Linked DNA regions of Arabidopsis thaliana. The protein of the gene in region 3 interacts with the protein of the main gene of each other region in a pairwise test. Each region holds a gene or a part of one and is shown on either strand. Other genes may lie near its edges. The genes, in order: AT3G56880, AT4G29930, WRKY75 and EIF2 BETA.

Region 1 (7,497 bases), on a different chromosome or scaffold from region 3:
TTGTATACTATCCAGACGGCCTATAAGGACTAAGGAGACATAAAACTTGTAAATAATTTCAGTTTCTGCAAAGAAAATACGAAGAATGGAATCTTTTTGAGGAAGGAAAAAGACTAAAAGAGTGGAGAGGGAAGCTTGGGCGACAAGAGTGGGCAGAGTATTGGGAATGACGAAGAAACATTTAGGCGCTATGCATAATACACGACCGCTTCTTCAAGTCAACAACATTCTCACGTGCCATCTCCCTTTTCTTTTTTACTTTTACTTTTTACTTCTTTTTTATCACTTGTATTAATAATAAGAATCATAAAAAACAAAAATGACGCGGTATCGTCATGATACTGTCATGATTACATGGTTTAAAAAGATGACGTTATCGCTGGCGTCTCTTGACTTTGTTCCTCCCACTAGATTCTTTTTTTTTTTTTGTCAGGATCCAAAATTTTTAAATTAGATCATCCTGCATTTTTCTTATGACAATCAGAAAGACTTTCCTCCTTTAATTTGATCTTTGTAAAGCTAAATATTTTGTAGGTTTATCCAATACACTAATTAGTTTGACTAGAACATCTGGAATAGCTTAAAGCTTAATAAAAAAAAAAAAAACAAAAAAAGAGTTTCAAAGTTCGTGGACGCATTAGCAATACACTAATTTTGGACCTCTTGAACCAACGTAAATCGTCTCATTCATCGATCTGCTGTATGGAATATATAGAATATAGTGCTTAATGGAATTTTTTCAAATATATAAAATTTTAGTTAAATATTCAACCGCTGATATTGATGTGTTTCGCAGCTTTTCATAATTGCTAATTGTCAATGATCGGGACTTTACAAGTGTTGTACAACTAATATGAAGACTAGCCAAATTAAGTATTATGTGCTGACTCGTTATTCTTTTAAGTTTTACAATTATCTTCTTCGTTCTTTTTTTTTTTTTGATAAAATCAATAAAAATACAGTTCTATAATAACTATTCTTTTCAACTGTTAATAAAAATTTAATTTTCCTTTTTGTAACGGTTATTCGTTTCAAGTGTTAATATGTACTAACATATTTGAAAAAGAAAGAAGAAAATGAGTGGAATTAATATTTACGGTTTTGTGGTTGTTATCAAACTATTAATTGGTTTTTTTTTTGGTATATAAAGGATCGTAAAGTAGTAAACCTTAATCAAGCATGTTGAAGGAACAATGCCGACGTCATCCAAATTTCGATGTCTCCAATAATTGACCACTAAAATCAAACGACTAATGAAGAGAGTTATGTAAAAGATTGGTCATGTTTTTTATGGGTCCATCTTCTTCGCTTTAGTCTTTATTATATTATCGTAAAACAATAACTCTTTATGAATTTAATTTCTAACCAGTATACTAATATATACACACATATGTATCTTATATTCTTAATCAACCAATCCAATCAATATAGCTTTCTTCACGCAATCAGCTTCTTCCCATATATTGTCACGAAAATATTATTTATACATATTACATTTACACCGTCGTAGATATATTAATCTTTGTGGGCGTAATAATCACGGCTCTCGTAATAAGGAGGACTCTTCTTATCAACAATCCAATAATTTTATGGAAATTATTGATAACAATTTAGTTAACTACAAGTAGTACTGTTTCAACATATACTATATGTGTACTTGCATAAAAAGATAACTTACATAGCTCGCACTCATTTCGATTGAGATATTCACGAAGATGTCAAATTCATCAATTTATTTATGTGTACTTGCATAAGGAACGAAAATAAATAGATGTCAAATTCATTAATTTAAAGATAAGAAAAATATATTAAAGTACTACTAGGTTTTGGAATTTTCAATTAACATAACTATTTACGCGTAGTATATGTGAATTTTGGTGATGTTTTTTTTAACTGAATTGGTATAGATGTCTGTAAACAAATTATTTAGTAAGTACTATATTATTTTATTTTTGACATGGGAAGACCAAGATTCTGCGCTTGATAACACTGGGAACTTGCATTGAAAGAAGCAGGAGACAAGTTAAAAGAGACAATATCGAAAATCACGACAAATGCTTTTTCTAATTGACATAAATAAACAATATGAATTGTGATAAAGTATATGTTTTTATATTTATGCTAAAAACCATTGTAGATTTTTAAATGATAACAACAAGCTGATAAATTAATTATATATCAGTTAGTGGCTTATATTTTAGTGAACTCGACAGTTTGACTGAGAGATAATAAGAGGTTAGCTAGATTCAATCCGATTTATTTCGTTAGAAGACTAGACCTACATCTAAAATGTGCAATCACACACACACACATAAAGTAAGTATAATTAGAAAGAAAAAAAAAAAAGTACAGACTAATAGATGGGTTATTATAAAGATTTGAACAAAAAACAAAGAAATGTGCAAATGAATTAGATTTTGATATTTAGAAAAAGGAAAAAAAAAAAAAAAAAGAAGAATGGGCCGGAGGGGACAGTGTAAGGTAAGTGAGGAGGAAGAGACGTCGGGATACGTGAAAACGCGTTTTTATTTCTTACAAATAAAAAAAAGGTTTATGACGAACGTGGCAGATAATCATTTTAGATCGTTCATGCATGGATCATGCAAAAGCCTAAAAAGTGACTAAAAAAACTCACTTTCGATTCCCACGTTACAGCTTCATTTGATACTAATATAAGTGTGTCGCTTCTTTACACTTTTTAGTTTTCGAATTTCAGTTACATTAGTAATTAAGCTGAGAAAAAGTTTAGCTGTCCAATTTAGGTGTGTATAAGAATCTTAAAAGTGATTTTTTTGATTACTAAATGTATTTGGGATCAAAGTTTATAAACTTTCACATGCATGGTATAACATTGGATGATATCATTTAATTTTATAAATCAAAGCCCAAGAAAAAGATAAAGAATATTATATGGTTGAAATGAAACCATTAATGTCTGATCCAAAAACATAATCCGGTTCAAATATTTAGACTAGTGTAAATAAACTATCTATTTGATAAATTACACATCAACATGAAAGCCACTCATTGCTATGTTTTAAGTTTGTTTCCTTCAAAACTATCACAACTCCATGCACCTAGTTGTTAAAGAAAATAAATAGGAAACCAAAATTTTTGTGTTTGTGTTTTTTTGTTTGTATGTTGGTATAGATAATTTTGACATTAATTTGTCCCACTAGAATATAAAAGGAAACCAAAATTTAATACGATATGAAGCCCTCTCAAACTTGCGATAAATTTGAAGCTTTACAAAATCAACACAAAAACGGAATCACTTAAAATAGTACTACTGTGATTAATAGTATTTGTTGACCCAACAAAATAATATCTAACATTCATATCCATAATAATATCTAAAATTCATATCCATATATATATATAGAGCTATACATATTCTCCTAGTATTGGTCACCATGGCCTACTTGCATTTATGCAACCTAACGTTTCCCTTTCGATCGTTGTGTTGATTTGTTTCAAGTTTGAACATAAACCGATAAACAGTTTCGACGGGCAAATAATACAGTCTTTGTGCCATATATAAGAAAGAAGCTTAAGGACACTAGTGAGATTAGTGTGTTGTAGTGGGTATTTAAATAGTGAAGTTACAGAATGTTAATAAAGTATAGACTAGAAACCAAACTATTGAAACCATTTTCTCCAATCATATTACATATACAAATTCAAAATTTTAAATATCAAATTTGAATTGGAATGTTGAAAATAGCCTGGCTACATTTGGACTGTGTCGAACACTCTACATGTAGAAGTGAGCAATGCTATATACAATATTGTTTCTTTGTTCAACTCTATTTTCCACTAATTTTCTTTTAAAAAGATTAACAATTAAGTACTTAAATGTGTCAAATCAGCTATATAACCTTGAGATATTTAGGAGCAAAAATAATTTATATTTTTACAAGACCAATTCTCAATCCATCTTTTTTTTATAATAAAAATGTTCAAAGAAGAGATTAGCGACGACATAATCCATAAATTAATACAGAGATTAGATAGAGAGTCAAGAAAAATGGGTTTAATAAATAAGACGAAAAAAACAGAGCTGAGTCAGAGTTCCGTACAATTCTGCTGACGCGTGTCTTCTCCTTTCTCTCTCTTCTCCACGCGGTTTCTCATTCTCTCTCTCTCTCTCTTCGCCGTCCTATTTATATTATCTCTCCTCAGCTTTCATTTCTCCAATTCATTCATTATCACATTCCTTTACTCACTCTCTCTCTCTCTCTAAAAACAGAGCTCAACAATAATGATCCACTAAAAAAGATTCTCTTTTCTCTTCTTCTCCGGTGATTTACTTACTTAACAATCATGGCGTCGTCGGAGGGATTAGCAAGCGTTGATCCTTGGTCATTCCGTCAAAACTTCAACATCGATTCGTGGCTACTCTCTGATTCCTTCTCACACGACAGTGATATACTCGCTAAAGCTCTTCACAGATCCATCTCCACTTCCACCGAATCATCTCCTCTTTCTCCTTCATCTTTCTTCGACTCTTCAACCGCCGCCGTCGATTTTTCTCCTCCTCAAACTCTCTCCAACGTCTCTTTCGGCTCAGATCCAGAAATCCCCGCCGCTAGTGCTCTTGGTCTCGGGAAACGAAAACGTGGTCCTGGTGTTTCCGGTGGTAAACAAACGAAACGCCGATCTCGAGTTTCTAATAAGAAATCTCAAACCACGTTTATAACGGCGGACGCTGCTAATTTCCGGCAGATGGTTCAACAAGTCACCGGAGCTAAGTTCCTCGGTTCTTCCAACAGCATTTTCGCACCGATTGTGAAGCCGGAGCCACACCGTCTCGCTAGTAGATTACCACCGTCGTGCGGAAACTTGGACCGATCTTCAGCTGTTCCAACGCTAGATACGTCGTCGTTTTTGTCTAACCATCACCAAGAGAACATTATCACAGATTTGGGAGCTCCGACCGGTTCGTTTCATCATCAATCCAGTGCAGGTACAACGACGGCGAACGTTGGTGGTGGTAGCTCCGCCGTGGAATTGGATAGTTACCCGAGCTTCCCAACACTCGAATCATGGAAAGTTATGTGATCGATCTGATTTTAAGATTAGTGTTTATGTAGAGATGTAATCCCTTTTGTTTTTTTCCTTTGTGTTTCTCATTTTGTTATGAAGAATCTTGTTTTAGTCCTTAAGCTTATGCAGCTATGGAGTCTCTTGTTCATACTTTTGGGGAAATCAAATGGTTTATTGGAAAAAAAACTTGTTACTGCATTAATTTTGTGTTAGCACTATCAAATTTACTTTTTAACTGTTTTTAAGGATAAAAAGCGGAAAAAGGATAAATCTTCTTCAGCCTATACATGGCTGTAAAAGAAGGATTTGTCTTCAGAGAAGCTAGGGAATATCTTTATGGTCCCATGTATCTATACACAGAAAAGACAATCATACACGTTACCACCACCACAATAATGTCTCCATTACTGATACAAATCTATTTTTCTCTTAGATGTAAAGATTCCTCTTATCATATAATCTGAAGATTAATAAAATGAAGCATAGTGTAGCAACAAGAATTAAGTTACACAAAATAGGAGATTAGCTTTCAACAACTACTACAAGAGGAGTATGTCAAAGTAAACGATAATGCGACAACAACCCAAGTCAAAAAGATTGCATCGTAAAAAAGAAAAGTTAGAATACTCTCATAATGGGTTTGGTGATCAGAAACAAACAAAAAAAAATTACATTTATAAGGAGATTATATATGAGAAAAGTCGCAAGCAATAGTTTAGTTTTTTCAACAGCTCCTTAGGTCAGTTTTAAAGTGAGTCAACGTCAATGCCACAAAAGAGGAAGCACTGATTCATCATGAGTCGTGTTCTTAGTTTGACTGTTAAACGTCATTTGCGTTGATTCTTTGATTCCTATATTACACGACACCAATATATGTCCCGTTGAGATCAAACTTACTCATTAGAAACAAAACGTATACTTTAAACAAGACTTAACTTAAGATCCCGAAACGTTAAATCAAGGTTGACACTAGATTTGGATGCACTTCACATTTTTGTTGGATCTATTCACTTTAAAAACTCAAAATTTTGCAAATATTGGTGTAACATGTGGACGGTGGAAGAGACTAACCGAGCAATAAATATTAGGAGGGGCCATAGATTGACCAAAGCGATTATATAATGTAAGTCATAAGTCAGAACAAAGACTAATGTAAAGGCGACAAATATATTAGGGGTTGTTGGTGGTTGCACCTGAGATGGGTTTATGAGGGAATCATCATCTACTTTGTCTCACTCTGATTCAGACACTTATCTATCATCTCATGTGGGTCGGTCTTTGGGCTTTTAATTATGAGGACGACACCAAAAGTGTGTGTTCAGTTTACGTTAAACCCAGTATTTATCTGTGGTATGATTCAGCTTATAAACACAACTTATTACCAAAAGCTAGGAAGTAATTAAGTATTTTTGTATTTCACATCTTCCACAAGTTGATCTCTAGTTTGTTTCCTAGCCTATACTACACTGGTGAAGCAGCTAGAAATGTGCTCTTAGATTTGCAAACACTTGTAAAATTATGAGATTTCCTCTGTTTCTTCTCATTTGTTTTTTAGTTGTAACGCTTCGATCAAGAAACCCTTATAAGAAAGACACATTCTATCAAGCAGCTGGGCTTTTACAGTGGATGCAGTAAGTAATCAATCTAAAGAGATCCAAATAGTGAAAAAACCTGAAAATGCAGATTACAACAACTTAATCATTTCGTGTTTTCTGAAACTAAGTCTTGACTTTTAATTTGGCTTGGCCTCGAAGATCTGATTAGAAAATCAAATCAACACCTGTCCTCACTCTAGGTTAGCAAATACTTGTACCTGTTCTGCTGCGCTTGTTATTCATAGATGGAGTGGAACCGAGTTTGCAGAGACCTCTTCCAGATGATGGTATCAAGGCAAAAAATTATGTGCAATGGTAGAGACAGCATTAAACTATACAATCGGATTTACTGATTTAGAACTGTAGAGAGATAGAATTACAAATGAAAACTACGTTAACCAAAGATAGTCACGAGGTACATACGATTTACCAAAGCTAGATTTGACTCGCACAGACTTTTACAAACGTCTAATACTATTAACTAAAGAATATAAAGGCATACATGATGCCCTTTTGCTTTTTACCTATTCCTTGTCTCATTGTTTTACTCTCTTATACTCTTCTCCTCTTCTTCTGTCTTCATCTTCACTTATGTCTTTTCCATTTCTTCTCCCTACTTACACCATCATCATACCTCGTCCCCTACGTTGTCAGGACATAACGTTTCACAGCAGTAACAGCGGCTCTTGATATGAGAAATGCTTGACTTGAATTGCTTTGCATCGTTTAGACTAAGATCCTCAACATAGTCAACAAAGGCATAAACTTCACCACGATGCTCAACCTCTTCAAGCTTAGCTCCAAAACCTTGGATTTCAACACTTTGGAGGGTTTTCTTTTCGGGATCGAAGTAGAA
Region 2 (9,465 bases), on a different chromosome or scaffold from region 3:
TTTTATTTGTTGTCGACAGTTATACTTCTCTTATCTCTATTCGTTATGTTATATGAATTCACAGGTAAAAGATTAGAGCTAATAAATAACTTAGAATCATAGGAGAATATTTCATTTTATTACATGTTATATACTTATCATGTTTTTAAGAAAATGAAAAAGTTAGGTTAAAGTGGCTATACGATATTACGATAAGTAGTAGTAGTACAATGTTCAACTATTGCAGTCAAAAAAGCATTTTTCACCTTTTACATCTTTTATGGATAGTTTTCACTATTTTTATAACTTAAAAGATGAAACTTTGGTTTCATATAAAATTCTTTTGATCATCTAGCGTCGTATCCAAAACTAAAGATCATATACGTATCTTTAGTTTTGTTTATATTGGGAATATTAACTTTATTATCTATTTATTAGTGTCACCTTTGCTGTGTAATGTGTATCTCCGTATATCTATGTCTCATACTTAGTGATAAATGATTTTTTGCAGAAGGATAAGCTTACAGTGAAAACAATAATCCAATTTCTATGAGGTTAACAAATATGTATATATATTTTAAAACCTCTAAGAGGTTAACATATTTTTAAACGTAAATATTAGTTGCTAGTCGAATTTCTTTTTAACAAAGATTGGCACAAAAATTAATGCCCAAAATATGATTTTATTTAGTTGTTACCAAACTGCCTATAGTTTGATAAAAAAATTATATATAAAAAGGAAAATTAAAAAGGGAAACGAAAAACGGAACAAATCATTGGAGAGGATCGGTCAAAGAGGAATAATTAAGCTCTTTCTTTTTAACAAATTTTATTGTCATTCACTTTTATATTTGTCTTTTGTTGGGTACTGTTGAACGAATGTTTCTTTACTTCCATCACAAGACAAATAAATAACTCAATACGTCGCAAGTGATTCTTTATATTCCTAACTGTCGACTAGAAAGAAAATAAATATCATAGTTCTTTGACAAAAAAAAAAGAAAATATCATAGTTACTTTACTCCAAAATTATAGCCTATGACTAGACTTGATTGGCCATAGAAAATACTTACATATTATGTTATGATGGAATTTCTTCAGTAGCTATTCAATTCTTGTTAGGATACGACGCTATATTATGATGGAGTTTCTTCATTATTTACATGTTATATTATGATAGATAGAACAAGAAACAAAAATAAAAAGCTTCTATGTAATTAATTATGGAAACTTTCTTTGGTAATTTTTGTTTGGACGTTGTAAATTACTTTGCTGTTTTTTATTTTATTTTTTTTTGTATATGTTGCGTTTTCGTTTATTGTTGATTTATATATTCATCTAAACGTGCTTCCAGTTTTAAATAAATTTATTTTGTATTTGTAAACTTAAAAGGCCACATGGAAAATTTTCAAAACTTTACATAAATGACTGAAATTACAATTTACACCATTTTTCTTCACACACTTAAGAAGAGTCAAGACTAAATTTTGGAACATTCAAACGGGCTAAACCATTAAGCATCTTTGTCTGGGCCGAACTCAAAATATATCTCTGTTCAATCCGTGCCTTCAGCCCAACATGTGTTTTTTCAGCCCAATAAGTTTCTTGCATGTTTTGAAATAAATAATGAATTTTAGTCGAATTACTTTCTCTCATATCGGCATATTTTGTTCATTTTGTTTGATGAATGGGTTTAAGTCGTCGAAGTTGGTTAACCGATATCGTAACGTAAGATTGAACCGGAGTTTCAATACTCGTTACATTTTTTCGTATTCTAGCTAACGTGAACGGATGTTGTTTATACAGCTTTCTACTACAAAAGTAGATTTCAAAATTGAACTGCGATTTTCTTCTTACTCTTCTAGAAACACTTCCTCATATTTAATAAGAAACGAAAGAATTAGACTCCGACAATATTGGGAATGTTTAGTTGTCATTTGGACCCAATATAATCAATTCCATACATTTGCAATTGCAAGGTGGGTGAGTCATCAAAATTTATGAATCTTCCAAAGATTATAGATAGAACAGCTTTTAATTAGCCTAATAAACAAAAGGAAATACGATTATGCATACAAAATAAATTAAATATTAAGACTTTTAATGAATTCTTAACCAAAACCATATCAAGTCATATCATACACTATCCTCCATACACGTGGTAGCATACATAAGTACGTTAAATAATTTTATTTAGCAAATAATTTTATTATAATCATCTTTGATCACCAAGATCATGTTGGGCCATCCAAGCCACGACTTTAGTAATGTGAAAACAATATCATAAGGAACGAAACACTGTTCATTTCATACAATTAAAATACAACTTTTTCCTACACATTTTCTCAAGAGTTTAGTAAGTGAGAGACGAATGATTTGAGAAAACAGTTTTTACTTTTTTCGATTTGTTTCTCAAACTCAGTATTTTCGGATTTCTAATCCAGATTAAAAGTTCTGAATAAAATCACGGGGTATGGAGCAAAGCCGATATAAGTAAAAACCTTTCCATATTGATAGACACTAGATTTTTTTTTAGTTCATAAGATAGATACTAGATTTAGTTTGAGTATAATGGATTAATGTGGAACTAGTTGTATTGTTTAGTATGTGTATGTTGTATGATTTAGTGACCGTCTTCAGTTTTCTTGATGTCTTTCCACGTTTTACAAATTCTTGAAAGAACTGAGAACTCAAATGTATGATACATAACCATTGAAAAAAATATTTCCACCATCATAAATAGAGTTTTACGAATCGTTTCACAACTTTTAATTCAGTTGACACCATTAAATAATCAATATTTCTTTAGTTACAATTCAGTAGAATAAAATTGCATATGCTATATTATCTAATTCTATGAATATTTTCTGTCTATGATATTTGATTTTTATATACTTTAGATTTTGGATCACCCCCACATTATTTCGCTTTTCAGTCACATTTTGTGTTTAATATTGCTAGATAAGTCCGTGGTTATAGCTTACTTTGTTAAAATCATATATCTCAACTTATTTCATAACAGTATCTAAAGAAGATGGAATTTTATAAATATATAGACACTCAAAAATCAGAAGAAAATATATATCCACAAATAATAGAAGAAAACATAGATTTACTGCATTCAAATCAAGGGACATGAAAGAATATCCTGGACCCAAGTGGGTTATATTTTCAATAAAATTTAGCAAAAAAAGTTGACAATCAACTAATCATCACCATTATTGGCCATAATCATTACGTACGCATACACATAGCCACGATGTCTACCTATGTTTAAATCTTTGAATTCTGAAACTACGTATCTTTTATTTTTGTTTAAAAAAAACCTAGTACGTATCTTCTTTCCTTACTTAGACATCATCTTCTAACTTTAAGGATCGAAATTAGAAGAAAAACAAATGATTAATATCTACAAGAACAGAATTTTGCATTTATACTCAGATACTCTTCTAGTACCTCACAAAAATAAAATGAAATTGGAATTGAACACGCCCTAAATTCAAGTACTATACGGTCTATACCCATTTGAGTATATGAATAATGCATATTGTGAGTGAAAGAGATAGATACGATACACTCTTTTCTTTGTTTTTCAATTGGACAAAAGGAAACAGATTTTGATCTCTGAATTGAACGGTCAAGATCGTATATAATTATTTCAGGAGATTAAGATCCCACGTGCTTAAAAACTCTCTGTCAGACTCTTTATGTATAAAATCCTCGGCCCACTCTTGTTTTGATAGTACACTCAATAGAAAGACACAAAGAAAGAAAGAAAGGACAAACAGAAATAACAAAACCTTCCATTTCAAGAAAGCATCATCTTTGTGTGTCCGAAAAATGGAAGATCTCGACCATGAGTACAAGAATTACTGGGAAACCACAATGTTCTTCCAGAATCAAGAACTCGAATTTGACAGGTGCTTACTAGAATCTTGGTCCATTTTTTTTTTTTTTGTTTCTTTAGTTTTTTTTTCCGATAAAGATTAATCTTGCTTTAGTTGGTAATTAATGAAAATTGTTATAAATTATAAAATTTAAGTTGGCCGATGGAGGAAGCGTTTTCGGGTTCCGGCGAGTCGAGTTCGCCAGACGGAGCGGCAACGTCGCCGGCTTCTTCGAAGAACGTTGTCTCCGAGAGAAACAGACGGCAAAAGCTTAATCAGAGACTTTTTGCTCTCCGGTCAGTTGTTCCCAATATAAGCAAGGTATGATTAATTATTCCATTACTTCTCTTATTTGTTTAATCAACTGTCTCTTTTAAATTTAATTTGTTATCCAAATAATTTAGTAATAAAGTTTCGTCACCAGCAATTTTTGTTTTGGTCAACAGAAATTAAATAAGCGAATAAACTTTCTCTTCTTTCTTTTGTAAAGAAATAAAACTATACAAATACAATCTGGTTAAACCAAATCCAACCAACATTAAACAAATAAGCAAACCAAATTTTTGATACTCTAAATCCATATCAAGCCATACTAAAATGTATTTTGGTCCCCTAATTACCCTGATAGCATATAATTGTATACGTGTGATGATTTGTTGATTAAGACTGGATTTTATTGAAGTATTAATATTTATCTATTTTTAGTTGGACAAGGCATCTGTCATCAAAGATTCTATCGACTATATGCAAGAACTTATTGATCAAGAGAAGACTCTAGAAGCAGAGATCAGAGAGCTAGAATCACGGTCAACATTGCTAGAAAATCCGGTAAGAGATTACGATTGCAATTTTGCGGAAACTCATCTGCAAGATTTCTCAGACAATAATGACATGAGATCAAAAAAGTTTAAGCAGATGGATTACAGTACTAGAGTACAACACTACCCCATTGAAGTTCTCGAAGTACGTACTATGCATTATTTGGCAGTACATTCTAAATTACCTTTCTTTTGAGGTAAAGTTAATTATTCCAAATTGTTTTTATATAAACATGAAAAAACAGATGAAAGTGACATGGATGGGAGAGAAGACGGTAGTGGTATGCATAACATGTAGCAAGAAAAGAGAGACAATGGTGCAGCTTTGTAAAGTGTTGGAGTCTTTGAATCTCAACATTCTCACTACTAACTTCTCTTCCTTCACCTCTCGTCTCTCCACCACCCTCTTCCTCCAGGTCACTCTCTCCCTCTCTCCCTCTCTCATATCTTTATTTGGCAATGTGATTACTAGTACAAACTACAAAATTCTAAATGCATCTAGAGAATACTGTACGTGTCTTGTTTTGGTTTGACGCTCATTTTGCACTCATGGAGCGAAATTATAAAATGTTAATGGAAAGAGATGATAATATAGTTTAGAAGATTCTTGCTAATAAAGAATGTTAGATCAATTGTAATCAGCTATAAAATTAGTTTTATGCACTTGTCGGACTATAAAACACACCAACCAAATATATTTGTCCATTTTTAATTTGTCGCAACTATTCAGACTTTTATATACCAAATTCAAATCTTACTATTTTCTTTTCTTTTTGGTTATTTTGGGAGAAAAATGGTCGTCTGACGGCACGTAGACAAATCCTTTAGTGGACAAGAATTAATAATATGAATAAAAAGCATATGACTAAGTGCTTTAGTAAAGTGGATTGTTCTTTTGTTTTGGTAAAGAAAATATGTTATCTTTACGTAATAGTACAAAAATGTAATTCAAACTTACGAATTGTTTGGAAAATCACTATCAAATTCAAAAGGATAACCTTTAGACGGACCCATTTAATTACTACTTTTCTCCCACCTGTCTCCATTAAGTGGACCTTAATTCACATTACACCTTAAGTATATATAGTCAGTAATATCTTAATCAATCAATTAAAGCTCCAATTATTGAGGTTGCCTCGAGCCCATCACATTTTTTTCGAATTTCGCCTTGACTTTTTCTGATAGGGTTAGATTCTCTCAAAAGTTAAATGTCATATTCCATAAAAAATTAGGATTAACTTAATCAAAAAATTAGTGTGTGAAATCTCAAGTGCCTCGTGTCCCAGAAAGTGCCGTCCAAGCATAGTAGCACTAGAAAAACGTGGCTAATTTATAACCTCACGCGGTTCAACGTTTGTCTCTTTCACACTTTTAGCACGTGACTTTTCTAGCACTACACCTTATATCAATTCTTAACTCAAATTAACAATAGGCTACAAATCAACTGTAGCCAATTAGCAAGTTATTTGTGTTAACTAGTTGTATATGGTTCATAAGGTCTTCATTATGCTAATCATTTTGGTAAAAATTAGTTACTCCAAATGATATCCATAGCAGTTCATGGTAGAAATTAAGGTTTGGTCCTTTTTAATATAAGCAGATTTGTTAAGAGTTATTATTTTGTGTTTTTACTCTAAAAAATACAAATTCATTTCATTATCTCTATCTATTTGATTTGTTTATCATCATCATATACTAGGACTTTGGTGTAAACAATCTAATTACAAAAATGCTAGTTTCGTGAACTAACGTTCTATTTTTTTTGAAAAAGGTAATTATATTATAAGCTGTAGGTTGGAAATTTTTGATGACAACAAATACGAGTATTTCTTGCCTCACAAATGAATATAATATTATGTTGGTTTTCTTTGACAAAAAAGAATTATGCACCTTTATAACATTTTCTTGATAAAAGATAATATAATCAGACGCTAAAATTACAGTGAGGTATAGACCAGTGGAGTCATTGAGAGTTGGTGAAATCATACTCCAATCATTTATCAAATAAAAAGTCGATCATTTCATTTCAAACCTGTCCTTATCCGTCCTTTTAAAGATTATACAAAAACATTAAACAATGATTTATCCACCAATCTCATTTTCCACGGGAAATAATTATAGTAGTAATGCGTGCAGGTGTATATACACAAATTTATCAGTTCTAATTTTCTTTTTACGTGCTGCCAAAAAAAAAGAAGTTTTTTTTGTCTGATTCGTGTAAAACCTAAACACCCCTAATTTTAATAATCTATACTGACGTTGGACTTCCTAGAATCCTAATTTACTTCAAAATTCTGTAAAGATATCGTATGATTGAAATAATATAGGACTGTTTTAGTTTATATTGTGATAGATGTATTAATTATAGTAAATCGTTGAATTTGCAGGCGGATGAAGAAGAAAGCAGTGCAGTAGAGGCCAAGATACAGATGGCCATCGCAGCTTATAATGATCCAAATTGTCTTATCAACTTCTAATTTACTTCTGGTTTTTTACTTAAATCCGTTTTATGCAATATATGTGAAGAGCTACTATTGTGAGGGTTTATTTGTTTGAGCTACAAAACATCCGATGTTTTCTAATAAAATAAAACAAAAATATGCATGTTCCTTCTTATAATCTTAAAAATTATACTTCTAAAAAAATCATTTGAATTAATTGCAATCATAACCGAGTATAAGAAGAAAAAAACATAAAGAAATATGGTTAAACTAAAAAAGCAAATATGACTTTATAAAAGATTTTGTGGATACTTTGTCTTTGAATTGATGAACATGAATCAAATGCATATTGTAAGTTGCAAAATAGAGAGACTTGCCATTTGTTTCAATTTGATCTGTAAAGTTAGGCAACAAATGTTTAGTAAACTCATAAAAGTGACAGTAGGCTTTGTTAAGGAGTTATGTTCAGATAATTGCAGATTTGTAAACAATTTATTCTTACCGCTATATACACTCGGTCTAAAAGCTTTCTCTATAACCATCATCTTTCTATGATTATTACTTGGTTGAAACTAAAAATATAGTTGCCAATCTTACTCTATCTGTAAGAACCTAAATCTTTCAGCTTTATTATTTTTTAAACTAAAATTAAAAGCCAAAGTTATTTGGAAAAAGGGAATTAAAAAAAAAAAGAGAATAAAAAACGAAATGTACATAATTCAAAAAAGAGAGCTAAAAAGTTCCATTAAAAAAAAAATCCCAGTTTTATTTTTTTCTGGGGGATTTTATCTGAAGTTTAAATGACACATACAAACTGAATAATACACAAAACTACATTAGGTACTCTCTTAGACTACGTTCCAAAAGAATCTAACAATACCAAAACTTCTGCAAAGGACTTTTTTCTTTTCTTGATATATATATATATATTGTTACCTTTTCTCCTTGATCTCTGCTATTGGAACATACACTACTGAGTCTTCTTCAAGTAAAGGAGAAGAAGAATTGCCTAACTTTTTTCGGCCTTTTGGTGTTTTAAATCTATCAAGCCTCTGCGTCACGTCCAGTAACTTGTTTTCTGTTCTACAAAGCATCTCCATTACTGCTTCCAATTCTTCCTCTTCCGTCATCTTTCTCCCCGTCTCCTTCTCTTCTAAGCTCATTTCGTTGCTTAGCTCTTCATGTGACTGAACACAATAAGAACAAATAAACTTTAAAAATCTACAATTGTCTAAAACCACTTGTCAAACCAAATTCATGGAAGCGATACTTGATCATGGTTTCTTTAATATAGATATGTTCAATAAACTCATTTTGGCGAACCAGCTAATTTCATTTTACCTCTTCCGTCATCTTGCTCCCTGTCTCCTTCTCCTCTACCGCTGTACTTAAGCTCATTTCGCTGTTTAGCTCATCATGTGGCTGAACATAATAAGAAAAATAACTTTTAAAATCTGAAATTGTTTAGAATCACTGGTCAAGGCAAGTTCATGGAAGCAGTACTTAACCATGGTTGTTAAATATCAGATATATATGTTCTATCAACTTATTTTGGCAAATCGGCTAATTCATATCTTACCTCTTCCATCATCTTGCTCTCTGTCTCCTTCTCCTCTACAGCCGTCTTTAAGCTCATTTCTCTGCTTAGCTCTTCATGTGGCTGAACACAATAAGAAAAAAATTATTTAAAAAATTTAAAACTGTTTAAAACCACTGGTCAAGAGCTCAAGGCAAGTTCATGGAAGCAGTACTTAATCATGGTTTTTAGTAATAGATATGTTCAATGAACTCATTTGGCGAAACGGCTCATTTGTATCTTACCTCTTCTATCATCTTGCTCTCTGTCTCCTTCTCCTCAGCAGCCGTCTTTAGGCTCATTTCACTGCTTAGCTCTTCATGTGGCTGAACACAAAAAGAAAAGTAACTTTGAAAATCTAAAATTGTTTAAAACAACTGGTCAGCCAAGTTCATGGAAGCAGTACTTAATCATGGTTTTTTATTAATGGATATGTTCTAGAAACTCATTTTGGCGAAACAGCTAATTTATATTTTACCTCTTTCATCATCTTGCTTTCTGTCTCATTCTCCTCTACAGCCGTCTTTAAGCTAATTTCGCTGCTTTGCTTTTCATGTGGCTGAACACAATAAGAACAAATCACTTTTAAAAATCTAAAATTGTCCAAAACCACTGGTCAAGGCGAGTTCATGGAAGCAGTACTTAATCATTTCTATCTTACCACTAGAACGAAAGAAGAATCGTTTTGTTCCAGATACTGTTGACTTTCATCTGTGGGTGAAGGAAAAGAGACATTTTCCTGTTGAAATTCCTCCTGGTTGTTA
Region 3 (7,532 bases):
CTTATCCATGAAATCATCGAAGCTTTCGAGAATCATCACGGTGAAGAAAACTCTGCTTCTCGGAGCAAATCTAAGAGAGGTAAGAAGAAAGAGAAACCGGGTCGTCGGGTCACTGATTCGGATAGTAAACCGGCTCTTCGGGTCACGGATAATGGTGATAAGGATTCTAAACCCGTCGTGGAGCCAATGAACGAGACCACTGTTTCCGAGAGTAGCCACGTGTCGTCACCAGTTAGATTGAGTGAAGCTGAGGTGGCAGAAGGAGAACCGGAGGATGAGATTGTTGTTGAAGAAGATGGACAAGAAGAAGAATCGACGGTGGTGGTTTTTCCGGCGGCGGCGAGTAATGTGACGGGACACAAAGGGTTGGCGAGGAAGGTATTACCGGACGTGTTGGGTTTGTTCCATTCCAATTTTTGGAGGCTTTGGAATCCGAACGCGTAAAAGCATCGACCGGAAAAAAGTTATGCTTTTTTTAATTTTTTTGTTGTTGCTGTTTTCAGGAAAAATAATCTCATCTTTTGCTTTCATTTTGTTCTTCTATTCTCGAAAAATACATGACTACTTTGGGGTTATGTTTAATATTCTTGGTTGAAAAAATGCAGCTCTTTTAGCCACCATTTCTCTTTATGAAATTCTCTAACAATGTGTGATTATTGTTCTGTTGGCCAAAACTATTTCTGCGGATATACATGAAAGATTTGCAATGTAGTTGATGTTTTGCATTTTCAAGTTCTTTTGACTTGCAATTTTTGTGTTTGGTGGTGAGACTCTACTCTTTCTAGGCGCTGTACACCGAATTTGAGATTTTTTTATTTGAGTGTTTTTTTTAGCTTAGGAACAAAGTTTGTGGATTAGGTAGACTGTTTCGAAGAGTGGGCCAACAAATATTTGCCTTGTGATTAAGCCATCCTCATCTCATAGTGAGAGAGTGTGTCTCATTCTTCTATTTATCTATCCATTTATAGATAGATGTGTTGTTAACTGGTTTATGTGGTTTCATTAGTAATAGTTACGTTGTAACTGCTTTATCATTTATTTATTTTTACGACTCCAGAAATGAAGAAGATGAAATCAAAGTTCTGTTTCTACTACCGTGTTACAACGTAAAGCAACAAAACATTTGGTTACGTTTATATAGGAAACCAAAATTGCCAAATTTAACCAAGGCTTGAACAAAACTTTAATCAGTTTCTTGTTGTTGTTGGGCCCAAAGCTACCTGTTTTACCAATCAAATCTGTTCTTACTTTGTCAATTGTCACAAACCTTGACTTAGTTCTTAAATCACTCACCAAAAACTCTGATTCTCAACCCAAAACAAGAAATAAACTTGTACTTAACTGCCAAAGGCTTGTTGAGCCTAACAACAAATATTGGCCCACATAACAGGCCCAAATCTTACAAAGCACCCAACCCTTTTTTTTTAGCACCCATCCCTTGAGTACTTTTTTCATTAATGTTCTTTTCCAAAAAGATATAGAGGCTGCGAGATGTGAAAGAAAAAAAGTGAGATTGCAAAAGAACACGTGCGTCTTCCAAGAATTTTCTTAGGGGTTATATAATATTCAAACATTTGATCTCTTTGATAATTGTCCAACCTTTTCTTTTTACTTTGTGCTTTTGAATGGTCAATCAAACATGGACTAACAACAGTAAATGGTGAGCTACTTTTGTTTTCCTAATTGAAATTGATTAATAATTGGTAAATGGTTTCAACTTCAAACCTCGGAAGAATAATCATCAAACACGTTTGCGCCTCTTTGTTTACCTTCTACAAGGACTTAAAGTTTGACCAAAATTCCTCAACTACATACGAATGAATATACACTGACGTCCGAAAACAAACCATGAAAAGTACTTTACTTCTCATTAAGCCAATGAAGAAGAAAAAAGTAGCAATATACTCGTCCTAAGCTTTTTTTTTTTTGCTATGAATGTTGTTATCATTATAAAAATTAAAAGAGTTTAGCTTTACTGAGTAAGGGCCTATTGTTTTGAATCTTTGGCCAAAAAAGTTGCGGAATCGTTTGCGTCTGTGGTGATCATGTTTATGATCTCTCTGTCAATTGTGTCGATATACGTCATTAGTTATATCTTGGTATTTATTCAATAAAACCATCAAAAACTGTATTTATTCATCATGGAATCGGTATTATATTAAGTTATAACCGTATCTCACCACAACGACATCAACATCTTTATTCTTTGTTTTAGAAAGCAATGGAACGAAGAACAGATTCAAACTACTTCTCTTTTTTCCACGTGTGTAAATAGTCAATAAATTAGATGGTCCAAGGATAAACTCGTATTTGTATATACAAATATCGAAAACGACTTGTAGTGTGTTTAAGAGCCAATCTAACAATTTTATATGTGTGGATTCAAACATTGAAGACTTTGATTGATCAATTCAAAGAAGTATGCATTTATTATATGCACGGATAAAATGATGACGTTCGACAAAAAAAAAAACGTAAACCTCATATGACGTTCGGATAAAAGAAAAACGTAACACGTACACGACGTCATTGGAGAGATCATTCGTCCGTTCGTAATAATCTTCCACAATCCAAAATTCTGTGTTCTACGTCGGTGCATGCATCGTTTTTTTGGTTATTCTACTTCAATGAATCGCGAAAAGCAGAGTGAGTAATTGATTCTTACGTCAGATCACCAATAAGTCTTTCCTTCCTAATTTGCAATATCTATTACAAAATCTTTATTAATGCGCAGTTTCAAAGCACTCTCAATAGCATACATTCTTGTGTAGATCTGATCCTTATCCATATATATATACATTTAATTGATTATTACTCGTGAAAACTCAGTAAACTATCTTGAGAAAATTGCCTATATCTTTTAAGAAATAAGATTAGGGGTACATAAAACATTATCTTACAAATGTAATTATGTAAAATGTTTAATCCTTACGTGTCGTCTACGACACTACCCCTCTTTAACGATTAGCAGAGGGCCGCCTCTTCGTCTTTGACTTCATAGTCTACCATAAATATGTCTATATATTTTAGACTAAACTTTATTATGTTTTCACAAAGATATCTTAACAAACTCCAATCAATTATCAAACAAAAAGAGAGGAACAAAATTCTTCTTCTTTTGGAATTCAGGTGGATCGGTCTGTCTCGTTGTTATAATCAAGATTCCACAAATAATTAGGAATATGGAGGGATATGATAATGGGTCGTTGTATGCTCCTTTTTTGTCGTTGAAATCTCATTCGAAACCAGAGCTGCATCAAGGCGAAGAAGAGAGCTCAAAGGTTAGATCAGAAGGTTGTTCGAAAAGCGTGGAGTCGTCGAAAAAGAAGGGGAAGAAACAAAGGTATGCGTTTCAAACAAGGAGCCAAGTGGATATTCTTGATGATGGTTATCGATGGAGGAAATATGGCCAAAAGGCCGTCAAGAACAACAAGTTCCCTAGGTTCTTCTTCAATTCTCCCTTCTTATTTATTCATTGCTTACAATTGCTATATATTTTATCGAACATATAAAGAAAGAGTTAAGAGTTAGACATGCATATATATGCTTTAGCCAATTCGAATCAATCTCCAATTAATGTGTATATGTATCATTCACATCGGCCCTAGATTGATCTTAACTATTCTGCAATATGTGTTTTGATTAATTTATCGTTTTCATCTTCTATAGCTAGCCGAGATACATGATCTATTTGTTTCTCTATCTAATAATTAATCAATATTTAATATAAATACACTTTTGGTCAACAAATCATAGAAATGTGCTTTTGTGAAGAAATTTGATGATTAATTACTCTTCTAAAAGACTCGATGAATATATGTATATCCTATTCACATTTTATTCTAGATTGATCTTTACTAATTGATTGGGATATGGATATGGATATTGATTTTTTTTTTTTCTAGTCTATGTAGCTAACAATCAGCGATTAAAAATGAAAGTCTTTTGGTAGACATTTTTCTTCTTATAATTTGGATTCGGGAACATATATGTGACAGTTAATTACTCTTCTAAGAGATTCAAAAACAGTTATTTGCATATAGAGAAGTGAAGTGTTTTGAAATATAACTAATGGTTTATATATATAAATGTGCAGGAGTTACTATAGGTGTACATATGGAGGATGCAATGTGAAGAAGCAAGTGCAAAGATTAACAGTGGACCAAGAAGTGGTCGTGACAACCTACGAAGGAGTGCATTCGCATCCCATCGAGAAATCCACCGAAAACTTCGAGCATATTCTCACTCAAATGCAAATCTACTCTTCTTTCTAGTTAATTCTCTCAAAATCTTTTATACCTTATTTTAGAGCCTATAATTCTTAGAGCTCATGTTGTAAATTATTTACAAAAATTAGAATGTTACATTTTACGTGTGTTGAAAAGAAAAACCATGCATGATCTGATGATCAGCTGAAGTTTGTATCCTAATAATTTTTAATAAAAATTTCAAAAATTGAGTGTAGTCTATTACTGATAGCAGCATATAATGCACATATTAAATTTCAAACAACTGTTGCTAAACATATTATTACGGTTATCTGATAAATAGTAATACTAATGGTTAGGCGTTAATAAGATATGTCATAGTCTCTAACTACCCACCGAAAGTTGTAAGAAAACTACATGAGGTATGGGAATCTGAAAGTTAGCTAGGTAAGTGACAAGAAAGTAAAAAATATCAACGGAGAAAATGACTTTACAATTCTTAAAATTAAATCAGTAACAAAATAAACCCATTTTGCTAGTTAATTCTGCTATCAGCAATGATGCTCTTGAAACAGTGACAAGAGAGTCATTGTTCTTCAGCACCGTCGCATCAGTTCTTGAGTAATCCAGTGTCTTTTTTGCATGTAACCAACCATCTTCGTGTAAATGTATGTAATTGAGCCTGAAATCTTTATTATCAATATCAAGATGCAAACCGTTTGGATTTGGATTCAAAAATTTGGATAAAAGCTTCACAATTCAACTTTCAGTTGCTAACACAAAACAGGAGTTACTGAAACAAACACCAATTTGATCTAAACTGTTTCATAAACTTATTATAACCATGCTCCAAAAACGTAGCTCTCTTGACTTACAAAACATTCAAGAATCACAAACCAAGAAGATACTGGAATCTAAGAAGTTTTGATCTTTAGATCCGAGCGGATTCTGCTTCCATATACTTACAAATCCTCTCCATAACCTCTCTTCCTTTAGCGCTATTCTGCATGAATTTCTCTGCGCACTTCTGTTCAACCTTCTCAGCCATTGAGGCCAGAGCCGACAAGGGTTTGATCCGAATGCTTGTCTCCTGGCTACAAACAGTCCAGGCTGATGGATTATCTGGATGCGGATCATATCTTATCCTCTCCTCCACTTCAATGAACTTTTTGAGACTAATGTTCTTTGTTGTTAGCTGGAAAACGAAATAGTTGAGACATCTTAGCTAATCCAAACACTCATCTATGGATTGTTGTTTATGACTTCCAACTACTAAGAGATACTTCATGGCATGCTAATCAAGTTCCAATGAAACAGATCACAGCAAACTAAAACAAGTTCCTTATCTTACAAATTAGGCAACTTCTTACTAGAACAAATCCTTGGTTGCTATATAAGCTAATCTAATCACTCATCAACGGTTGTTTACGCCTTGTATCTACTAATAAATACTCTATCCCAATCAGAGCATAGAGAAAAGCCGATGATACCTGCATAGAACGTGATTTGCCATCTACAACTGTTGATTCAACACAGTGACAGATGTCCTGACCAATGATCCTATGGAGAAACCATGGACCAGGAGCATGGATGGTGAGAGCACGCGTGGTGTGGAGTTTCCCGGTCTCAGTGTCGAGTTTCCTGTTCAAGGTATCGACTTCAAGGATGTGAGAAAGGATGCGTTTGTTTTCAGGGTCTGCAAACTTCCTCCATGAAGCAGCACTCACCCGCTCCCACGGATGCTTGTAAACATGCTCTTGTCTGTATGCTTTTACCATCAAGAATCTAAACCCAAATCATGAATGTTTTGTGTGAATAGGTGAAAGTGTAAACGAGATATTTTACTACAACAAATAAAAGATTTCTCAGATAAGGATCTAACCACATGATTTGGTCTGCAAAACATTGTTTTTAGCTATGAGGATTGATAAATTTCAACAAACAAAGACGAAGAACACTAACAATTTGGAGAATTTAAACATTGATTTCGTAAATAAAATTGATCTAATTACGGAAATTCTAATTTCAAATTCGGGAATATTCTTCAACGATTCCGACATCGGCGTGAATCAAAACGCACTTAAGAAACACGAAAGAAGAATGGCAGTTTTTGGTACTGTGCTAACAAAATTGAAGGAAACAGAAGAACAAAGAAACGTAATTTAACAGTTGACTCGATTGCTAATCGAGATTTAAAGGAGATTGTGGAAATTGGGAGGAGAGAAGTACCTTGAGAGGTCGGCAAATTCAAGATCTTGGTGAGCTTCGAGAAGTAATAATGACCCAAAAGTGGAGGACGTGACGAGAGTAAAAATAGAGAGGAAGCTAATCAATGGCGGTGTTTATAGAGAGAGACTTGCGGCTTATGTTTACGAACCACGATGTTTCTCTCTCTCAGTCTCTCTCGTAGACGGCACTAGTTTTTGGGCCTTTATTAAGCCCTATTCAGAGACCTCATTCATTATTGGGCTTTAATTGTGTTGAAAAACTCATAATTTATTGTCATACTCTGTGACTTTTTTTCCTTAAATGTTTTTCTCATTTTCTTATATACATAGTAATTATACTAATTTTCTTAGATTATGCAAATTATGCAAATGCATGCAGCAAAAAAAGGATTAGGCAAAAGCATGGATGTCCAATGTGGTTTTTGTTAAGTTTGGTTCAAACATTTTCAACACAAGGGACAAAAACCAGACATTTGTGTTACTGTTTCAAGGCATTCAAGATCTGAAGGTAACAAGAAGTATTCATGTTGCAGTTAATGTTACACATTTTGAGTTTGATTTTTCCTAAGCAACTTTCTATGCCGCTTTAGAGCCATGTTTTCTCGACCATTTGTATTTTGTAGTCTGATGTTCTCAGCCATTTGTAAAAAAAGTCATTTTATAAGCTATGTTTGAGAGCCTCTTTGGTATTATTGAGTTAAGCAGTTTATATTAGAGATATAGCAGTAACAAAATACAGACCGGTTATCAAAAGAAAAACAATTTTACCTAAGTAAAGTAAATCAACTACTTCAAACCGGAATCCTATATGTTTTATACGACGGTTGGGGGACTAGCTTCGACCGGCCGTGTGAGAATATCAGTCATGTAACTCCGAATTTCAGGTATAATTTGCTTGACAAACTTTGCAAACCTGCATTAGGTAAATCAATCGAAACTTGATGAGTGAAATAGAAGTTAAATTTCCCAAAAAAATTATAACGATGTAATGATTTTGCATACCATAATTGAGAGCTGAGCTTAGTGAAATGCTCAAGAACAAAGAGCGTGCAAGCTCTTCTTAAGGCTGAAGCATTGAATGTATCTGCTAACTCAT
Region 4 (8,588 bases), 2.9 Mb from region 3:
TAAGAGTTATTAAGAATATCAGAGAGAAGCAGCCACAAAACATTTGATAAATTTCTTCATTACACTAACAGTAATAGTGCTACAGGGTTTGCAAAAGTTTCTGCCAATTTAAGTACCAAGTTGATATGAAGATACCCAGTTCGTTACAATTTGGTTCCACATTCAATGCACCTAAATCGCCTTCTCCGCAATAGATTGCCTATTAATTATTACCTAAAGAAATACTACTAAATGCTTTACGAAAAGAGCTCACTGGAAATGGAGTACTATAGGTAACGTAGACAATTGCAAGATCCAAGCTTTCACAGATATTTCAGTTATTTAGCAGCAGCACCATCAATAAATTTACTGAGCATTCTAAGCAAATCAGGAGACTGTCTATTGATTTAACTTTCTCGGGATAGAACTACCATGCTTCTTATGGAGAAAAATGTTTAACTCTAAGATTCTCCCAAAATCATTGAGAATATTAAAAGTAACCATGCCATAGTAGGTGCAAAATTTTATAAAAGAACATAAAAATTCTCAATAATCTATTAAGACACGGAAACAAAAGTTTGCGTACCTTTTGCTTCCCTTGTTGTTCCTGATCTTTCAGATCTTTTACCTCCTGCATATATCATTACTAGGATTATAAGCAGAGCAGGGGAATGGGAATAGATAAAAATGGTAATAGCATAGGCACAAATAGCTAAATCTGAAAGGCATTCACACAATACATTCTCAAGATTCCTGACAAGGTGGTGATACTCAGAAGAATCTTGTCGAGATTTACGCAATTCCTCCTCCAGCATAGCGATTTTTGCACGCAAAGATTTTAAGTCTTCCTGATTTATAAACAAGGAACAAAATAGTGAATAAAGAAAGATATAATTGTACAGTTTCATTGTTGTAGGATAATCATATATAATAATCCCGTTCACTTATTCTAACCAACTTAGAACATGCAGCTTAGTCCTAGACGATGAGACACAAACATATTCTCCAATATTACAGAGTAAAAGACATTATAGGAGAAACTTACATCCTGGAGAGAGCATTCACCATTCCTGAGCTGTCCATCAGGCCTAAAATCCTGGAGAATAAAATGCAGAAAATATTCATTGATAAACTGCGTCTGGTCATCAACATCAATGCAAACAGCAAAAAAAAAGGTAGGAAAAGGCATAGTAATTCTTTCTTGTCCTGCTTAATTTTTTCATACAGGCCAATTAAAAGGTTTTACTTCAGGAAAACATATAATTTGTGTCCACGTTTGTCAACGAAATTAAGTCTCATATATGTAAATCCTCGATGATGAGAAGAGTGGTTCCATGTAAGGTCCGATGAGGTAAACAATACTAACCTTTTGATCAGAGGCATCCAGTTGACTGGCAGCTGATACTGGTGCAACCACAAACTGAGATTTTGTCACATCGTTATTAGTTTTAGAACCACGCCCTCTACCTGTTGACGAAGCCCGACCTCGACCTTGTTTCTTCTTACTTACATCAAGGCCTGTCTTGGACTCAGCATCATTTTTCCTTCCATCATATGCTGCCTCTTGTGGCTTCAATTCAACAATATTCTTCATTATAAGTTGATGAGAAATACTAGGAGACAAAACTTACATCATACACCAATATTTGATATAAAAAACATCAACCCGATAAGAGACTAAAAGAAAACTCTTTATGAAAAATCAATACCTCAACATGATCAACAACACTGAAGTTGTTAGATTCTTGAACTTTCTGGCGCTTTTTTGTATTTGCTCGGATTAGGAAATCTCCAGTATTCTGAGACAGTAACAAGGAGAATGAGATCTAGCTAAAAAAGAGACTGTATTTCTTGTTCAAGAAAGAAATATAGATGCATCTGCAATGCCAGGATATGTAGCCAGCATTGCATACAACTTTGATCAATCTTTAGGCACAAACTGATCAATACAAGGAGGATAGGGACATCAACAATTCAATTAGCAACGACCCTTAGACTCACAAGAATCATAGCATAGACATAAACAAAAGAATTTGAAACAAACATCGGAAGCTACCTCGTCGTCTGAATCACTGATAGAGGTTTCGGACAATCCCGGCGGTGTGGAAGTGACGACTTTGACAGCGGCAGAAGCAGATGACCAGAGAGAGACCTGCTGCTGCTGCTGTTGTTGTTGTTGTGGTGGCTTGGCCGAGGAAGGGGTCTTACCAGTCAAGCGGGCCTCAAGCTTGGCGATTTTGTCGGGTAAAGAGTGATCCGACTGATTAGAAGAATTCGAGGAGAAATGCAAAACCATGTCATCCGACATTGCCAAACACTTGCGGACACTTCACTCCCTAATTTCTACACAGATCAGAGTAAATTCGAGAAATTAGGGTTTTTTAACGGAGAATTACGGAATTGGAAGCTAGAATCTGGATGTCGAAGAGAAACCCATCAACAAATTTTCATGCTTTTATGCAAATCCACGTGGAGGAAAGTGAATAAAACGTACAGAGAAAGATAGACAGAGAAAGAGAAGGAGGAATAAGGTTTTTGTTTCGGTGAAAAAGAAAAATCGAGGAACCCTAAGGAATTAGGAGGGAAAGAGAGGTCAACACAAAGTTCTCTTTAGCACTCACTCTGATACATTTTTTGGTTTATCAGATTTTAGCCTAATTATATAATCTGAGGTTTGAGACAAGTTTGAGTTATGGGTGTGTTAATTTGGGAAATTTCCATTTTTTCTTTCTTTTTTTTTCTCCATTTGGTATCATGGATTAGGGTTGACTATAAGTAGGGTTTTCTTTGATCTAAGGCCAGACTCGTGGTTTAAACGCTAAAATCCGATTATGACTATATGAATTTGCGGAAGTAGGCGGTTGCCGTCTCAAGCGTTATTAAACAATTTGAACGATTAATTTAGCGGTTGAAAATTAATGCATTTGCGGAAATTTTGTTACTGAATATCTAACAAACTAAAATACTTAATATATTAAATAATAAAATAATATAATTTAGTAATTTATAGTAAAATAAGATATGCTAGACTATTAATTTTGACACTAAATATATTCTGATTTCTTTCTTTACTAGTTTCATTTATATTTAATAACATTTTTATATAATTTACTATTCACAGAATTTAATAAGAAATAAATCTTAATTTGAAAAAAAAAAAATTGATTTGATAAAATTTCAATTGATTAATTAATTAAGACAAATAAAATAATAAATGAGAATCTCAGTGTCAATTAATAGATAAAATTAAAATGTAACATGCGTTAAGAAAAAGAAAAAAGTAAAAATGTAATATTAAGGTTTAGGCAAAATGAAATATTTACAGAGACCTTTTACTATTGAATTAAAAAAAAAAGTTACAATTCGAGATGGACTATTTTTTTGGAGGAGCAAGGGTTAACTCTTATCTCAGATTAAAACAACCCCTGCGCCGCTTACTCTCTCTCAGATTCCTCCCGAAGCAACCTCGTTTACTCTCTACGCCAATTTCAGCGCTTAGACATCCCTTTGTGAGTTTTCTTCGATTCCTTTTCGAATTCTTCTGGTCGATCTCAGAGTAAATCGTGTTTTTGGAAGAATTGAGTATAAACAGATTGGTAAACCTAGCTGTTCCGTTTCTGATTTGAAGCCTTGTCGTACATTTTATTTGGGTATTTTTTTTATTGGGAATCGAAAAGTTGTTCTGAATCTCGTTATGGTTTTGTTGCGTTCCGAATTACCTCTCTGATTTAGAAACCCTAATTTCGGACTTGCCTATGCTCATCGTTGTTACAGATTATGTTGATTCTAATATGTATATGTTTGGTTTCTGAGGTCTTATTATCATTGTGTGTTTTCGTTTTGTATCTCAGTTGCAATCATGGCTGATGAAATCAATGAGATAAGGGAAGAGCAAGAAGTAAGTTTGTTTTTTTTCTCTGTTTCTTAATGATAGGGCTCAAGTTAGCCATATAGATTTTTTTTTTTGTTTTGTTTGATGAACTCATGATTGAATGGTTTTTATGTTTTGGTTCATCCTTTTACAGCAGCTCGCACCCTTTGATCCTTCCAAGAAGAAAAAGAAGAAGAAGGTTGTGATTCAGGAACCTGTCGAGGACTTAGCAGAGTCTTCACAGACTGAGAAATCTGATTCATTGCCTGGTATGTATGATGAAGAGTCAATGTGATGTGAAACATTTTTTTTGTTTCAATGGTCTTTTGTGTTACTTTGTCTAATTCCTTGTTTTTGCAGTTAATGATGGTCTTGAGAGTTCATTTACTGGAATGAAGAAAAAGAAGAAGAAGCCAGTGAGTATTGTTTTACGTTTTGTGCCTAGTATTTTTTTTATGTCATTAAACTTGTGTGTTTGATGATTCTGTGACTCACATTTGTTCTTGTTTGATATTTAGACTGAATCAAGCTTATTGAACAACGAAAGTGTTGATGCTGGGGAAGATTTGGATGGTACTTTTAATATCCTTTTTTTTTGTTTGCTAATATACCTTTTCTCTTGGCGGGGTTTTTATCCTGTTTGAATCTTACTGAGAATATATTGCAGAGATTGCTAATGACGAGCAAGAGGGGGAAGAAGGAATAGTTCTACAGCAACGTTACCCCTGGGAGGGAAGTGAGAGGGATTACATATATGACGAGGTGACTATATTTTCGATGATTTCTTTTGTTTTAATCCTTCATAAATATCTTGCTCCCTTGTTTTTTTGCTGACGGGAGTTATATATGCAGCTTCTTGGTAGAGTCTTTAACATTCTCCGTGAAAATAATCCGGAGCTTGCTGGAGATAGGCGTCGTACAGTTATGAGGCCTCCTCAAGTTCTTCGTGAGGGGACAAAGAAGACTGTCTTTGTCAACTTCATGGACCTTTGCAAGACGTATGAGCTAACTCTTTATCTTCCTCTTCAAACTTTTTCTGTGTAACCATAAGTAATATTACCATTTAATTTTGATGACTTTTCGATGACATGTCTTATCTGCATATAAAAAATCAGGATGCATCGTCAACCAGATCATGTTATGCAATACTTGCTTGCTGAGTTGGGTACTAGTGGTTCGCTTGATGGGCAGCAAAGGTTGGTTGTTAAGGGAAGGTTTGCACCTAAGAATTTTGAAGGAATTTTGCGGCGATATATCAGTAAGTAACTTTCTTCTTAGTCTCAAAATTTAAGTTGCCATAAAAGTATATCAGTTTGGAGTTGTTAACCTCTTGTTTTATTATTTCTCAGCTGACTACGTCATTTGCCTTGGTTGCAAGAGCCCAGACACCATTCTCTCCAAGGAGAACCGTCTCTTCTTTCTGAGATGTGAAAAGGTATAAGTTAATCTAATTAGTCCTGATCTTGATATGCATTCCTTTGTTTCTGTTTTACAGTTTTACTTTCTGCGCAACAAAGTAATAAAGTATTTTGTGTGTTTGAATTTGCTAATGTGATTAACGAGTGGGCTACATGGTTTTTGCAGTGTGGATCTCAACGATCTGTGGCTCCGATCAAAACAGGGTTTGTTGCTCGTGTTAGTCGCAGGAAGACTTGAGAAATTAGAAGGTGAAGTGACCTTGGTATGGAGTTTGGAGCTATTCTACTGCTTCTGTATGAGTTTATGAGTTGAAGAAATACTTGTCTTGTTTTTTTTATTTTGTTTTGGAATATGATTATGACTTGACTTTTAAAATGGGATAGGATCAAAACCTTTTACTCTGTCAGGTTCATGTGGTCACCTTGAAGGTTGATTTAGTAAATCCATGGACTTCTTTTTTGTGTTAAGATTATTCTTAGTTCAAAATTAATAGACTAATGATATTAACGTCCACAGGCATTGCGTTCAACATCTCAAATTAAAGCGTGGAAGGCTCAGAAAGTCCAATATACACTATGTTTATCTACAGTTACAATCATACTACAAAAAACAAATAATGTATACGGTTTGGTCTAATATAGCCGCATACGATTTAGTATTTACCAACAAAAAATTGGTCTCAAACCAAACCGAACAATTGGTAATTAACAATTGTTCTTTTGGTCTTGAACCGAACCAAACCGAACTGAACTATATTAACCGACCGACTTCGTCCTTTCCTCCTGATCAAGAAAACTCGTCTCCTACAAAAATCCCAGAAGACAAGAGATTGGTTCTTCTTTTGCATCATTCTTACAAAATCCCCAAAATCATTCGAAACCCCTGAGTATTCTCCTTAACTCTAAGAAATAAATTTCTGAATGGATGCATCGTCTTCACCGTCTCCTTCCGAGGAAAGCTTGAAGCTTGAGCTTGATGATCTTCAGAAACAGCTGAACAAAAAGCTGAGATTCGAAGCATCCGTTTGTTCTATTCATAATCTTCTCCGTGATCACTACTCTTCTTCCTCTCCTTCTCTCCGCAAACAGGTTGGTTTTTATTCTTAGATTTTCGGATCAATAGATTCAAAATTATTCGGAATTGTTAGGGTTTATGCCTGCCTTGACGTTTACTCATTGCTTATGTCTGATGATGGGTTTAACTTTTGAGGATTGAATCAGGAATCAAATATCTTTCTTTTATTGTTTTTCTATTTCAATTGTGGAGAAAGTTCATGTTCATGTCAAAAATTTCATTTAATCCGATCTGTTTTTGTTTAGTTACCCTCTGTGACATAGTATTGATTTGATTGCCATTGCAGTTCTATATAGTTGTATCTCGTGTCGCTACGGTTCTTAAGACAAGATATACAGCTACTGGATTTTGGGTTGCTGGACTGAGTCTTTTCGAAGAGGCTGAGCGACTTGTCTCTGATGCTTCTGAGAAGAAACATTTGAAATCTTGCGTTGCTCAAGCTAAGGAGCAGTTAAGCGAAGTAGATAATCAGCCAACAGAGAGCTCACAAGGTTTGTGAAACATTTAGTTTGGCTTTTGATGGTTTTAAGTGAAATTTATCTGGAGATGATTTTTATTTCTCTTGTGAATTTTTTGCAGGTTATCTTTTTGAGGGACATCTTACGGTTGATCGTGAGCCGCCACAGCCTCAGTGGCTAGTACAGCAGAATCTCATGTCTGCTTTCGCTTCTATCGTTGGTGGTGAATCCTCTAATGGTCCTACTGAAAACACTATTGGGGAAACTGCTAACTTGATGCAAGAACTTATCAATGGTCTTGACATGATCATTCCAGATGTAATGCCTTCTCTTTTCTTCCTTACTAGTTTTAGATTATGTACTATCACACATAGCTGATATCACAAGTTTCTTCACCTAAAGATAGAGATGAAAGCAATTCTTAATCATCCGCATTCTACTCATATGTTGTTTTTTGCATATTGAGTTTCTCCACTTGGTTGTCTCACTCATCTGTATCAAGAGTGTTTAACCTCAACCTCTAATATTGTATTGGTAGCGTCTTTTTCTTAGCTTCATGATTGAAAAGTGATATATGATGTGTTCTATGCAGATACTAGATGATGGTGGACCACCAAGAGCTCCACCGGCAAGTAAAGAAGTTGTAGAGAAACTCCCAGTCATTATTTTCACCGAGGAATTGCTTAAAAAGTTTGGAGCAGAGGCAGAATGTTGCATCTGCAAGGAGAATCTAGTTATTGGCGACAAGATGCAGGAATTGCCATGCAAGCACACATTTCACCCTCCTTGCCTAAAGCCTTGGCTGGTATAAAAAAAAAAATCCCATTCTTTCAAGCTTACTAGTAAGTAAGAACATAAAGCTTATGCTCATATTGTTTTATGGCAGGACGAGCATAACTCTTGCCCTATATGCCGCCATGAATTACCAACAGACGATCAGAAATACGAAAACTGGAAAGAGAGAGAGAAAGAGGCCGAAGAAGAGAGGAAGGGCGCAGAGAATGCTGTCCGCGGAGGTGAATATATGTACGTTTAAATTTCAATCAGTTATGGCACACTCCCATTGTCTTTCCTTGAAACATCTCCGAATTGTTGTTCATCATTCACAATTATAAATCCCATTTTACATATAGATTCAATGTCTTTTGTATGAAAGCTTATAATAACAACACAGACTTCTTTACTTTACACACAATTGTATCTTGAAGAGATGACAAGTTCAATAACATAACATCAAAGAGTCATTAGTTAGATAGACTCTAGGACAGTGTTACTAACTACAATAGTTTCTTCAGTAGAATTGTAAAATGGCAAACATATCTGACCACTCCCAGACATGGAAACAATCTTCGGTTTGTCTAGCAAACCTATACAGACACTATCATACAACACATTACACACAGCAGCGTACATGATAGATTATCATATTAATTACTATATTGACAAAACGTTTTACTTAGTTTGCTTATAAGCTTAATGTGGAGGTTTGATCTTCTGCTAAGCAGTTGGAAATTCCTCCTTGATAGAGACATTGCCTGTTGGGACATCTGTCTTTTTGAAGTCTGAAGTAGGGTAAGGGTTTTTGTTGACCAATCTGCAGATAAAAAAAAGTGAATGTTATTGTTAGATGCAATATCAAGGTTAAACATTATGATCAATCTGTCTTTACAAGTCTCTCACAGGTACATTAACAAGCTCTGTATTAGTAATCAATCAAAAACTGAATAAAATAGATCAGATTTGAATTTCCATTGAAATGGAGAAGGATGAAGTGTAATTTTAAAGGC

What was found.
Region 1: the proteins of WRKY75 (region 3) and AT3G56880 interact in a two-hybrid assay, tested with the Arabidopsis thaliana proteins (one large-scale study listed by BioGRID).
Region 2: the proteins of WRKY75 (region 3) and AT4G29930 interact in a two-hybrid assay, tested with the Arabidopsis thaliana proteins (one large-scale study listed by BioGRID).
Region 4: the proteins of WRKY75 (region 3) and EIF2 BETA interact in a two-hybrid assay, tested with the Arabidopsis thaliana proteins (one large-scale study listed by BioGRID).

The regions. Positions count from the first base shown.
Region 1 is NC_003074.8:21,055,721-21,063,217, forward strand, and holds AT3G56880 (VQ motif-containing protein), read left to right. Parts: upstream 1-4,064; 5' UTR 4,065-4,323; coding exon 4,324-5,061; 3' UTR 5,062-5,527; downstream 5,528-7,497. Other genes in the region: AT3G56890 (F-box associated ubiquitination effector family protein), read right to left, coding at 7,270-7,497.
Region 2 is NC_003075.7:14,640,289-14,649,753, forward strand, and holds AT4G29930 (basic helix-loop-helix (bHLH) DNA-binding superfamily protein), read left to right. Parts: upstream 1-3,705; 5' UTR 3,706-3,819; coding exon 3,820-3,899; intron 3,900-4,021; coding exon 4,022-4,187; intron 4,188-4,571; coding exon 4,572-4,829; coding exon of another isoform or gene 4,830-4,880; exon of another isoform or gene 4,881-4,929; coding exon 4,930-5,217; 3' UTR 5,218-7,071; downstream 7,072-9,465. Other genes in the region: PRHA (pathogenesis related homeodomain protein A), read right to left, coding at 8,058-8,312, 8,467-8,547, 8,705-8,785, 8,947-9,027, 9,180-9,260, 9,363-9,465.
Region 3 is NC_003076.8:4,146,670-4,154,201, reverse strand, and holds WRKY75 (WRKY DNA-binding protein 75), read left to right. Parts: upstream 1-3,000; 5' UTR 3,001-3,182; coding exon 3,183-3,442; intron 3,443-4,096; coding exon 4,097-4,274; 3' UTR 4,275-4,464; downstream 4,465-7,532. Other genes in the region: AT5G13090 (uncharacterized protein), read left to right, coding at 1-444; AT5G13070 (MSF1-like family protein), read right to left, coding at 5,140-5,403, 5,699-5,986; ABAP1 (ARMADILLO BTB protein 1), read right to left, coding at 7,250-7,349, 7,439-7,532. UniProt on the Arabidopsis thaliana protein: Transcription factor. Interacts specifically with the W box (5'-(T)TGAC[CT]-3'), a frequently occurring elicitor-responsive cis-acting element.
Region 4 is NC_003076.8:7,091,912-7,100,499, reverse strand, and holds EIF2 BETA (eukaryotic translation initiation factor 2 beta subunit), read left to right. Parts: upstream 1-3,354; 5' UTR 3,355-3,488; exon of another isoform or gene 3,489-3,629; intron 3,630-3,830; 5' UTR 3,831-3,838; coding exon 3,839-3,877; intron 3,878-4,004; coding exon 4,005-4,119; intron 4,120-4,210; coding exon 4,211-4,266; intron 4,267-4,368; coding exon 4,369-4,423; intron 4,424-4,517; coding exon 4,518-4,612; intron 4,613-4,702; coding exon 4,703-4,848; intron 4,849-4,965; coding exon 4,966-5,108; intron 5,109-5,199; coding exon 5,200-5,285; intron 5,286-5,434; coding exon 5,435-5,506; 3' UTR 5,507-5,851; downstream 5,852-8,588. Other genes in the region: TSL (Protein kinase superfamily protein), read right to left, coding at 566-610, 720-827, 1,025-1,075, 1,346-1,549, 1,689-1,778, 2,036-2,287; AIP2 (RING/U-box superfamily protein), read left to right, coding at 6,190-6,357, 6,630-6,834, 6,923-7,119, 7,394-7,606, 7,688-7,837; JAZ12 (jasmonate-zim-domain protein 12), read right to left, coding at 8,299-8,395. UniProt on the Arabidopsis thaliana protein: Component of the eIF2 complex that functions in the early steps of protein synthesis by forming a ternary complex with GTP and initiator tRNA.